Linked DNA regions of Cricetulus griseus. The protein of the gene in region 3 interacts with the protein of the main gene of each other region in a biochemical or structural test. Links are inferred from orthologs where the notes say so. Each region holds a gene or a part of one and is shown on either strand. Other genes may lie near its edges.

Evidence for each region.
Region 1: the proteins of Rab5a (region 3) and Appl1 form a complex in vitro, tested with the Homo sapiens proteins (2 studies listed by BioGRID and IntAct, with this or other methods). The link is inferred for Cricetulus griseus from reciprocal best matches to the Homo sapiens genes RAB5A and APPL1.
Region 2: the proteins of Rab5a (region 3) and Chml form a complex in vitro, tested with the Homo sapiens proteins (2 studies listed by BioGRID). The link is inferred for Cricetulus griseus from reciprocal best matches to the Homo sapiens genes RAB5A and CHML.

What each region holds. Positions count from the first base shown.
Region 1 is NW_023276807.1:192,715,276-192,719,686, forward strand, and holds the start of Appl1 (DCC-interacting protein 13-alpha), read left to right. Parts: upstream 1-1,573; coding exon 1,574-1,627; intron 1,628-4,411. UniProt on the Homo sapiens protein: Multifunctional adapter protein that binds to various membrane receptors, nuclear factors and signaling proteins to regulate many processes, such as cell proliferation, immune response, endosomal trafficking and cell metabolism.
Region 2 is NC_048598.1:18,011,515-18,015,865, forward strand, and holds the start of Chml (rab proteins geranylgeranyltransferase component A 2), read left to right. Parts: upstream 1-1,513; 5' UTR 1,514-1,762; coding exon 1,763-3,616; 3' UTR 3,617-4,351. UniProt on the Homo sapiens protein: Substrate-binding subunit (component A) of the Rab geranylgeranyltransferase (GGTase) complex. Binds unprenylated Rab proteins and presents the substrate peptide to the catalytic component B.
Region 3 is NW_023276806.1:249,792,124-249,795,751, forward strand, and holds part of Rab5a (ras-related protein Rab-5A), read right to left. Parts: intron 2,356-3,628; exon of another isoform or gene 2,332-2,355; intron 1,827-2,331; 5' UTR 1,735-1,826; coding exon 1,572-1,734; intron 1-1,571. UniProt on the Homo sapiens protein: The small GTPases Rab are key regulators of intracellular membrane trafficking, from the formation of transport vesicles to their fusion with membranes.

The sequences.
Region 1 (4,411 bases), on a different chromosome or scaffold from region 3:
TTCCTGAATGTTGGGTGACAGATATGTGTCACCACACCCTGCTTGAAAGCTTTGCTCCTCTATAGCCAGTTGTATCCTGCTTGTGCTGGCCTAGTAAAAAGAAGTAGTAAGAATAAGATACCCATAATACAAGTTGAAACCTTTCATGCAATGTAAGTAAGAACTGGCTCCAAGCCACCTTTCTTCAAAAGCCAAGGGTCTCTTCAACAGGGTGACTAGTTGGTAGAGAATCCAAGGGGTGAGTTCTCATAAAAGGACTGTAACACTAAAGACAATTCTGTGACACTATAATACAAGTCTGTCATAAAACTTCTGAAACAAGTTTTAATCTTTCAAGAGATCATGGGGGAAATCTAGTAGCTTTAATTTCAAACATGCAACTTCATGCTCGTTATGACCATATACGGACTTGCTCTACGGTGTTTGGATTTGGTTCAGTTGAAGTAGCAGGAGAATAAGGAAGCTAATGCTCTTCTCTCGGTGACCGTACTTTTGTGAATGACAGTGGAAGAGACTGATGGGGTTAATGGGTAGATTGTTTTGGGGGAAATATTAGTGATTTTGCCACTTTCTCTGTATACTGATAAATACTTTGATTAACGCCACCGATAAATAAAGCAGTGTGAAGCTGGAGAAAAGGATGCAACAAGGCTGAAACAGAAAAAAGAACAGCGTTCCAGCCCTTACATGCCCAATCTCCAACAGTGTGAACGGCACTCTACAGTCAAGGAGAACCGGGAAGCTATTTAAGTCTCTTCCAAAACCTTTTGGTGAAACAGAAATGCTGACGGAGATACGTTCTCCAGCAACTGTGTCTTTTTAATTTTTATTTAAAAAGACGTTTTCCTTTGTGATATATAGGAGATACGATGGCCATAATTTTAGCACATCAAACTTTAAGGCCAGGTAAGAATTAATGATTTGTTAACGCAAGGGTTTTAAACTGAGTGTATGTATTGATAACCAGGTGTGTGTCCAGAAAAAAACGATCTGGGGGTCTACTACCTACAAATTAACTGTAAACCCAATGACACAAGTTTGGATTTCAGAGGTTTGTGAGTTAGCACCACTTTTGCAGGAGTTAAGACTGAAAACTCGAGCAGGGTTGGAAAGGTTATGGGGCCAGGGGTAGGGATTTTTCCAAGGTTGCTGACGAAATATGGTGCAGACATAAAACTGCCTCAAGTTCCCCTCGAGCGCTTTTCACCCCAAGCTCAGGCTAACCGCGCGCGGGCTTGACAGACAGCCCCTTACACTCTCAAGTACGGGAAGATCGGCGCTCACAGGCAGTGCGGTCTGCGCGGGTCGCACCTCTGAGGAGGGCGAGCGGTCGCGAAGGAATCTCCCCGGTCGGCCCCGCGCGTTGACGGGCGTCGCAGCGAGCCAATGGGCGTGCGGGAGGCGGGACTGACAGGCCCGGGAGGGCGGGATTTCCCGCGCGGTGGCCTCTGAGCGCCTGACTGGGGCGGCGGCGTCTGCGAGAGGGCGGGCCGGGTCAGCTGCTGCAGGCGGGGCGCCGCGCCGAGCTGTGGGCGGCTGCTGAGTGTCCTGCCGCCGCCCAGCCTTCGCCACGATGCCGGGGATCGACAAGCTGCCCATTGAAGAGACGCTGGAAGACAGTCCGCAGGTAAGGTGCCGGCGGTGGCCGAGGACAGCGCGCGGCCTAGCGCGGGCCTGGCGCCTCAGGTGCCCGCGCGCGGCCCAGGTGGGCGCCGCCGCCCGGGGTCGCTGCCTGCGGGGACCGCGCCCTACACTCCCGGGCCGGGCTGGAGGCCCGCGCGGCTGGGCCGCGGATGGAGCGGCCTTCGCTGTCTCCGATGGGGCCTGGCTCTTGAATCCGCGCCGGGTCTCCCTTGCATTTCACGGGAGGTGCTGTTTTTATCGGGATGGTACGATGTGGCGAGATAAGTCCTGGTCGTGGCGTTTTCCGAGGAGGCCTGGCACGCAGGGACCGCAGTGGCTAGTTTTCTTCGGAAGGGGCTGCGAGGCCGTGTGTGCAACGCCGGTGGACGCAGCGGTGTGCGTCTTGCTCCCCGCGGTGTGTCGGTGTCCGAGGCTGTCACTTGAGCTGTGCCCTGCGGGTGACGGAAGGCGCCTGGGCTGCAGAGCCTTGGGTTGCAGACTTGGCCCGAATAAAGTCATCAAAATAAAAGCCCTGTTAATGTGCGTTGGGGATGATGCTAATATGGTTGCTCTAGCTGAAGACAGTCTGGGAAAATAAAACAAATTTCCTTTTCAGTACGGAATGAAATCTGTTGTATTTTAAAAGGTGGTCTCTAACTTGCGTCAACTTCATCCTTTTGCCAGCTTTCGTATATAGTAAGGAATATAGAACAGTGTTGCTGGTGGATTTCTTAAATAATACTTGCTGAGAAATATATATTTTATATGCATTTATAGTGGAGTGTGCCCCCCTCCCCCACAAAAAAAGAAAGAAAAGGGCTAGAGCTTGCTTTGCTGGATGACACTTTTGCCATAGATTTTGTGCCGGTTTTGATTTTCCAAGTTGAAACTGGGCTCTGATTGTAGAATTGATTTATTCTTCTCTCATTCTGAAAGCTGTCTTCATAGGCCAGTTGCTCAGACGTAATATCCCCTGTCAGGCAGTATGAGAAAGAGACACCCACATTTTGGGTTATCTCACAGCTGGTTTAAATTTTGCTTAATGACTTTCTCAGTGTAAAGTCTTAAGTTATATTTATTTCAGATGATTTGCAGCAATTTCGTGGTTGTATTGGTCAGCATAATTTTATCTTTTTACAATTAAGACCCAATACACTGTCTGAACTTCTTTTACCCAGTGTACTTTTTATAGCCCATAAAGACTATAAAGAGAATGGTTTGCACAGTGCCCTATCGGTGACTTTCGATGTAGTGGTTATCTTGAATTTTCCATGTAATTAGTTTACAACTTGAGTCAGGCTTATTCTGTAGCCCAGGCTGGCCTCAAACATGGGCTCCTCCTGTCTCTAACTGGTGGTTGCAAGCTTGAACCACAAGTACTTTCAGTTGTTGTTGTTTTTAATTTAAAATTTGTTTTTATATATATGGGTGTTCTGGCTGCATGTGTTTGTGTACCACTTGTATGCTTGCTGTCAGTAGAGGGTATTGGGTCCCCTGGAACTGGAATTACTAATGTTTGAGAGCCACTGCGTGGGTGCTGGAAATTGAACCTGGATTGTCTAGAAGAGCAGTAAAAGTGCTAACCACTGAGCCATTTCTCCAGCCCCTGTTTTTTAATTTAAAACAATGATTTTTTTGGGGACTGGAGACTGGACCCAGGACCTTGCACTTGGTAGGCAAATGCTGTACCACTAAGATAAATCCTCAATTTTGCTTTTATTTTTTGTGTGTATATGTGTTGTAATGTATGTGTTTGCATGTCTGTGTATGTGTGCTCATGTGAACGGAGGCCAAAAATTGATTTATCTTCCTTGATTGCTTACCATCCAGGATCTTTCTCTGAACCCTGGGTTTGTTAATTCAGGTAGTCTAGGAAGCCAGCTTGCCCCAGGTATCCTGTCTCTGTCTTTTAAGTGTTGAGAGTACATGTGACCGCTGCACATGCCCAGTTTTTCCATGGGTTCTGGGGAATCTGGACTCAGGTCCTCAAGCTTGCAGGGTAAGGGCTTTATCTACTGAGCCATCTTCCCAGCCCTATTGTATGTGATTATGTGTGTGCTGCTGCTCTTGTATATGCATGCATGTAGAGGCTAGAGGACAGCCTCAGGTGTTGTTCCTTCTCAGCTTCTACCTAGCTTGTTGTTTTTGAGATAGTGTCTACCCTAGAGATCTAGGTCTCTGATGGGATCATGTAGGCTAGGCTGGCTGGGCAGCAAGCCCTAAGGATCTGCTTGTCTACGCCTTCCCAGCACTACGATTACATGTACCTGCCACCATACCCACCTTTTTTACCTGGGTGCTTGATAGCTAAAATGTCTTCACAATATTCTCAATTAAAAATTTCAAGCCTGCATATTTCCTTAGGTGGTTTAACAGACATATTTTAAAATGTTTTTATTAGCATATATTAATAACATAACAATGAATTTTATTATGACATTCCATTTTTATTGTATTTGCCCATTACCTCTATTGTTTCCCTTTCTCTTCCTAACTAGATCTCTTACTTGTGTCTTTTAAAAATATTTTTGTTTTGTTTTGAGAGGAAACTCTTGTGTTGCTAGGTGGAGAGTTCCCTCTGCCTCAGTTTGCAGAATAGTTGGGACTATAGCAGGTGTACCATATCCAGCTCCCATTGTTGTACTTTTAGAGTTTCTCCGAAGTTCTGCTTTTGTAAATAGGGCTGAGCTTAATGCTTTTGGGACCATTCTACAGATGTGGAGGGGTTTTTTATTGGGGGAAGTGAACTGAAGGGGAGAGGGGAGACTGGCTTCTGGGGACAGGAGTG
Region 2 (4,351 bases), on a different chromosome or scaffold from region 3:
GTGTTTAAGGTCATCTATCCCATTTGCTTTGACATCCTTAGGTTAGAAAGTACCTATACTTAGTGCTTATAACCTGCTTCCTGCCCCACTGGCCCCACTGCCAGCCTCAGCCTAGAGGAAGTGAATACATGTTTACACTTTAGTCCTCATAGATTCTGTCTCCCTCTTTACAACCTGTTAGAAGAAGGGCGAGTAAGTAATTCACCTATTCTTACATATTTACACAAGTAGACTAAGCAATTGCTTCATTCTGGGCTCTCATCCTGGCTTCTCAAAGAAAGCTAAAAATAAGTAGAATCCCTGATAATCTTGGTCCGAGGTTTCTACCAGCTGGGCTTGTTAGGATCACTGTTTCAGTTAAACTGACAGGTCGGACCAGCTACTTAGTGAAGTTCGTGTAAATTCCATTTGTATGGCTTGTTTCGTAAATATCAGAAGTATCATTCTCTTAGGTGTACCTGTATCTAGAGGTCAGCAGATTTAACGGTAGTGAAAAGTAGAGGCCAAGGAACACTTGCTGCTGCTATGCATGGTGAGCCATAAAAGGCTGGCAGTGGGGTGTGTGAGTGTGCCAGCCTGCCGACTTCCAGGTGAGTATGTCCAAGGGAACAGCCTCCAGCCACACCCAGCATCACATGGAGATAGCCAGCATGTGATGGGAGGGGACAGGAGAGTCCTTTCCCATTTCTTCTTTAGAAATGAAAACATGTTTAGAGAGAGATTCGTAGTTGCAGAGACAGTCTGGCAAAATGTAAATGTCTCCTCACTTAGGTGTTATGAATAGATGTTATTTATATTGAAATGGTTTAATACAGGAAACCAAGAACTTTAACTTACACATGTACTTTGACACAGAAAATGTTACAAAACTGTTTCCCCTCAGGCCTGTTCTTTTACATACCTACATACATTAAATGCCAGTTATTGAATTAATTCTCTTGTAATGTCTGGATGTCTCATGTATCTCCTGCAAGATCCTTAGGGTAGTTCAGGATGTAAAATCTCCTATGCAGCTGTCTGGGGTTACCCGCAAATGTTCCTGACCACAGAAATATCTGCCATTATGTTGACATGCTCACTCAGCATAGTATGTTTGCATAAACACAGTAAAGCCACATATCTCTTTTAGTCTAAGCTCACAGTATTGTCCAGATACATAATTAACAATCAAATAATTGTATAATTTTTTTATTTTTTGTGGGATATTGTGTCCATGCCTTATGACAGTATTGCTGGGCTGTGGGGAGAGAATATATTAAATATCTTTTGTTCATTTTCAAGAACTAAGAAGACCTATGGGAAAGCATTTAATGACTTCTTTGGGTAGAGGTTTGTAGCCACGTTAACAAGTCAGACTCCGGTGGATTGAAACTGCTGTTGCATGAAATTGCTTTTATATTATTTATCATTGTGTTCTTTTCTTGAATTTTCTTCTTTCAGAGGAGAGTTCCAGTCACAAATGCACATGTGATGCATGGTAACATTTCCCGCTAAGGTGAAATGCAGAAATGAAAAGGACGCATCCATTTGAGTATTCTCACATACGATTACATGCATTATCGTGTTTTCCATGCTACTGACTTTTTTTTTAATGTTTAAAAATTGTTAAGCGTTAAACAGCTTAGGATTTGCAAACTCAGTGTTCCTGATTGAAGATCCCAAGTAGAGATTTTATTACAGCATAAATACCTCAGAGGAGCCCTCGACCTAGTTCCATACAGAGTTCTTTCATCAGCTGTGACCTGAAGTTTCAGCTCCTAGGATGGCAGACAAGCTTCCCACAGAGTTTGATGTAGTTATTATAGGGACAGGTTTGCCTGAGTCCATCCTGGCAGCTGCGTGTTCCAGAAGTGGACAGCGAGTTCTGCATGTTGACTCCAGAAGTTACTATGGAGGGAATTGGGCAAGTTTCAGCTTTACAGGCTTGCTGTCCTGGCTGAAGGACTATGAACAGAACCATGACAGCGAGGAAGACATGACTGCCTCGTGGCAAGACCTGATCCATGAAACGGAAGACGCCATCGCTCTTTGCAAGAAAGATGAGACTATTGAGAACACAGAAGTCTTCTGTTACGCCAGTCAAGATGATGGGGACAGCACTCAAGAGAACAATGCTCTGCAGAGAAGTCCTTCCCCAAAGGCATCTGCTACCCTGGCTGACTCTCTGGATTCTGCAGGTTTGCCCAAAGAAGGGTACACAGTATACTTTTCAAGCCACGAAGCACCTTCTAGACACACAGAGAGAAGTGATACGGAGCCGTCACCATCCTTAACTGATGCAGAGAACTCACTGGATCAAGAAAAGGATGGTGGCATCCAGACAGTTTCAGATGGAGATAAAGATGAAGACAAACCTGATATAGAAGACAACAGCAAACAACCAAAGAGAAACAGGATTACTTACCCTCAAATGATTAAGGAGAGCCGGAGATTTAATATTGACTTGGTATCGAAGCTGCTGTATTCTCAAGGATCATTGATTGATCTTCTCATCAAATCAAACGTTAGTCGTTACGCAGAATTTAAGAATGTCACTAGGATCCTTGCGTTTCGGGACGGGAAGGTAGAGCAGGTGCCTTGCTGCAGAGCAGATGTCTTTAGTAGTAAAGCGCTCACCGTGGTTGAGAAGAGAATGCTAATGAAATTCCTCACATTCTGTTTAGACTATGAACAGCATTCTGATGAATACCAAGACTTCAAACAATGCCCATTTTCTGAGTACCTAAAAACTAAAAAGTTAACGCCCAACCTCCAACATTTCATACTACACTCAATTGCAATGACATCAGAACCATCCTGCACTACGTTAGATGGTCTTAAAGCAACAAAAACCTTTCTTCAGTGTCTTGGACGGTTTGGCAACACTCCCTTTATATTTCCTTTATATGGCCAAGGAGAAATCCCCCAGTGTTTCTGCAGGATGTGTGCAGTGTTTGGTGGAATCTATTGTCTTCGCCATAAAGTCCAATGCCTTGTAGTTGATAAAGACTCTGGAAGATGTAAAGGGGTCATTGACCACTTTGGTCAGAGAATAAGTGCCAACTACTTTATTGTGGAGGACAGTTACCTTTCTAAGGAAACCTGTTCAAATGTGCAATATAAGCAGATCTCGAGGGCTGTGCTTATCACAGATCAGTCCATCCTAAAGACAGATTCAGACCATCAAATTTCCATTCTGGTAGTGCCTCCACTAGAGCCTGGAAGCAGCTCAATTCGGGTCATGGAGTTATGCTCATCAACCATGACGTGCATGAAGGACAGCTATCTGGTCCACCTGACCTGTGTTTCTTCAAAAACAGCCCGAGAAGACTTGGAACCAGTAGTTAAGCAGTTATTCATTCCTTTTGCAGAAGCAGAAACAGATGAGGAAGAACTCAGAAAACCAAGACTCTTGTGGGCCCTTTATTTTAATATGAGAGATTCCTCAGGAGTGAGCCGAAGCTCATACCATGGTTTACCTTCCAATGTGTACATCTGCTCTGGGCCTGACTGTGGACTGGGGAATGAGCATGCCGTTAAGCAAGCGGAAACACTGTTCCAGGAGATCTTTCCCAGTGAAGAGTTCTGCCCTCCTCCACCAAATCCAGAAGACATTATCTTTGAAGGTGAGGGTTAGCAAGCAGACATCCTGGAGTCAGTAACACACTTACCATCCAGCTAGACACCCCAAGGACACAGCAAGGACTTGTAAAGCACAGAACACCTTCGAAATTAAAACTGACTGGAAGTATTTTCATCCTGGTCTCACAATATTGTCACTGAAAGACAGCTGCCATTTGTGATAAGCGCTGTTCACATGTCTTCAACACCAAGACACTGGGTACCCTAATAGCTCTGCTAATCTGTCAGCATCTGGTTTGTGGTGACTCACCTTTTTCAGAATTGGCTACAGGAATCCAGAATCTCTGAATGTCATTAGCTTTATTTTACTTTTGGGTTTCACATTAGCGACATTGCTTAACTTAAGGTAGCATCGTCTTCTGTGTTCTGTGTTCAGGTTTTATCATTATCTACACAAAAATTAATATCCACAGAGTGCTACTACTGTTGCTACCACCTCGGGTGCACAGAGGAACACATAATCATAAACGGAGTGAGTTTTTTGTATATTATGTAAACACACAGGGCTGGTAGTAGGAGTAGCAGCTAATACAAGTATGGTAAAAAAGCAAGTGTTAGAAGCTTGGCCATGCATGAGCCTGTGGCTTGGGGCTGCTATTTACATGTGATTTCACCTGCTTTAACCTTTGTCACTGAGGAGGCAGTGAGACTACGCTAGCCTGCTACTTTACAAAAAAAAGTGCCCCTTAGTCGTTTGAAGAACCTCTTATTTACGAGATGTATTGCAATC
Region 3 (3,628 bases):
TCCACCTACCAGTTGAGAACTACTGGTCTAAGTGAAGATAGCTGAGCCAGCCTAAAGTTCTTACTTCTAGAAGAGCACTCAGTGCTCCCAACTGCTTAGCCATCTCTACAGCCCCTACTTAAACAAAAACTTAAAATCTTAAGCCAAATACTAAGCAGCTAGAACCCAAAATATTATTATATAACACATCAAACACTGCTAGAAATGACTCAGCAAAAAGCTACACTGGTATTTATTTAGCTGGACTTACTAAGCATTTATTCTCTGCCAGTTAAGACATTAAGACATCTGCTTTCATTTCAGACAAGGCACTGTTATTTCTGATTCATGTAAGAGGTAAATAAACATGTGACTTCCCTAACCTAACAAAAGTAGTATTTGACAGAGAAAGGATTTAAAAACATTGTGTTAAAAATGACTGAGGCTTAGAAACATATCTTAGTTGGAAGTGTGATTTCCTGACATGCACAAAATCTTAGTTTTCACCCCCAGCACCACAAACACAGGTTGTGGTGACCCAACTGTAATCTCAACATTCTGGAGGTAGAAGATCAGATATTCAAGGCCATCAACAAATACCTAGCTCAGTTCAGTTCCTGGCCACCATAGGCCATGTGAGACCTATCTTATGAATGTCCCCCTCCCACCCACTCCAGCCCACGCCCCCCCCCCCCAAACCTATGAAATAAAGCTTGTTAGATTTGAGACCCTGTCTCAAAAACAACAGTCGAGATATGGTGACCAGACCTGTAACCCCAGTACTTGGTGGCTAAAACAAGTAGGATCACCAAGAGTTCATGGAAAGCATAGGATACAGTGCAAGTTAATGTCTTGGAGAGAAGACTTTCCTATCTAAATTAACAAGACATCTCAATTTTGTACTTTGCTTTCTTTTTTTGAGATAGGATCTTGCTATATCATAGTCACTGGTCTGAAACGTAGTCCTCCCACTTCAGGCTCTGGACTGCTGGATTGATAAGCTTATGCCCTCCCCCCATCTAATTTGTTTTTAAAAGTTTTCCTTTAAATATTGTTTAACACCCAAAACCAAGTTGGGACTGGGCATTGGTGGTACATGCCTTTAGTCTCAGTACTCAGGAGGCAGAGGCAGGTGGATCTCCGTGAGTTCGAAGCCAGCCTGGTCTACAGATCGAATTTCAGAATATATTACAAAGCAATACAGAGAAACCCTGTCTCCAAAAACCAAAAAAACCAAAAAAACCAAAAAAAAAAAAAAAGCCAACAACAACAACAAAAACCCCAAAAAACAACAACAGAAAACCATGCTGGGCTGGTAGTGTACACCTATAATCCCCCGATAGTTAGGAGGTGGAGGCAGGACAGTAAGTTTATCGAAACTTCAGAATAGCTTAGGGTACAATAACTTGTTTACAAACAAGTTATTTTGTTTACAAACAAAATAAAACACCAAACTAAAGTATTAAAGTTCAAGGTCTGCTAAAAGCTTTTTTTCTTGCCTGCATGATCTATTTAGCTATTCAAAATCACACCTAGAACAAATATTAATGTATGACTCAGCTAAATGATTAAAAGGAAAATAAAATTCTCACCCCCAATGGTACTCTCTTGAAATTCATGAAACTGGCCCTTCACAAAGCGAAGCACAAGGCTTGATTTGCCAACAGCAGACTCTCCTAGAAGTACCAGTTTGAACTGGCAAATTTTATTTCCAGTATTTGGCCCATTGGGTCTTGTTGCTCCTCGACTAGCCATGTCCAAATTTGAAAGAAGTCCCTAATTTCAAATTCCTAAATGAACTTCCAGGATGCAAGGTATCAATTTTGTTTTCTTTCTGGAGAAAATACCTGTGGAGACACAAACAATTAAATAAACAAATCAAAACTAAGTAAATCAATATTAGTGACTTAATATTACTAAGTTTAATAATAGAGTACTGTAATGACCAAGTAGACATCGAAAGTCATTTAGCTTATTTCACCCCCTTTCAAGGGAAATAATGGCACAAGATTTAAGCCTAAAATCACCTAAAGTCAACCTTCAAAAGGAGGGTGAGAAGTCTAAAAAAAGAGAGAATGCTTGGAAGAAGAGAAAGTAACAGAATTTATATGTCATGAAAGCAGAAAGGAAACAATTTGCAGAGAGGAAGGGTATGGGAGAGGACAGGGAAGAATGACACAAATGAAAACATCACCTGTAACCTATCTTGTATGTTAACAACAACAAAAAATTAGTAAAAGGAAGAGGCAAGCTTTCACAAGGTGTGGTAACAGCAATTCCAACATTGGGAAGGCTGAAGCAAGAGCTCAAAGCCACAGACAACATACATCACCTGACTACAAAACAACTAACCTTCAACAACTTGACTTTGGGGCTGGGGATTGGTATAGTGCTTGCCCAGCAAGCAGCAGGCTCTAGGTCCAAAAACAAACCCAAATAAATAAAAATAAAGAAGACTTGACTTTGTGCCAGTTAGTATTTTAAATACTTAATATAGCCATTCAACAGTATCAAGTACTCTTACAAATCTTATAAATGAGGAAACAGGTACGAAAAGGCTCATTGAGGTCACAGAGCAACTGTGACAGAGCAATCTGGGAGGTCAATCAAGAATTCAGGTTCTGGGCACTGGAAAGATGGCGGTTTAGCCTGAGTACTGCTATTCTAGGTGACTGGAGTTCAGCTTATAGGGTGATCCACAACCATTTGTAACACCAGTCCCAGTTGTCTTGTCATCATCCTGCTCCCTGCCCACCCCCTTTAAAATGAAGAAAAGAAAATCAGGTTCTATGTCCTATCAACCCTTAGCTATGAATTCACTCTTATCTCAGGCAATTTGGTTGACTCTTGCAAGGGGCCTCAGTTACTCATTTGTTAAATTGTTGTAATATTGTCTACCTTATTTTAGAATCTTGAGTAGAAAGAGAGAATGCCTGAAATAAGACATATCCTGTTTGAAGAACTAGGTGGCATAAAAATGCCCAGAGTTTATTAACATTCTGCTTGCTTTCCTAGTACCATTAAATAGTCATTCTCTTGTTCTGTGTTTTATGTACTGTTTTACTTTTGAAGTAAATAACTTTATAAAAGTTAATAAAAAAGAAAATCAGGTTCTACTTGGGTTAATATTTTTGAAGAAAGTTATGCTTGTAAATGGAAAGTTTTTAGAACAAATCCTACAGTTTACTATCTGAAGGCCTCAATTAAATGATACTCTTTTTTTGGTTCTTTTGAGACAGGGTTTCTCTGCATTGCTTTGGAGAAGGCTGTCCTGGAAATCGTTCTGTAGACCAGGCTGGCCTCGACTCACAGAGACCCGCCTGCCTCTGCCTCCCGAGTGCTGCAACTAAAGCCGTGGGCCACCAACACCTGGCAAATTTTTCATTTAATAGTAATTTCCCAAGTTTGTGTGCCTGGCTGATAAGGATTTCTCTATCTGGTAGGATTAGGAGTGACCTATTTACTTTCAGTAATTTTGGAGGGGTAGCTTTTGGGCTAACAATGTATGCTGTTAGCATTGCATTTGGAAAAAGCTAGCCTGAGAGACAATCTCCTCTCCTCTTCAGATAGGGTGTCACAAAGAAGCATAAAATGGTGATCTTCATACTTCTTGTTCTTAAGATCTGCACCAAGACATCCAGTTTGTTTT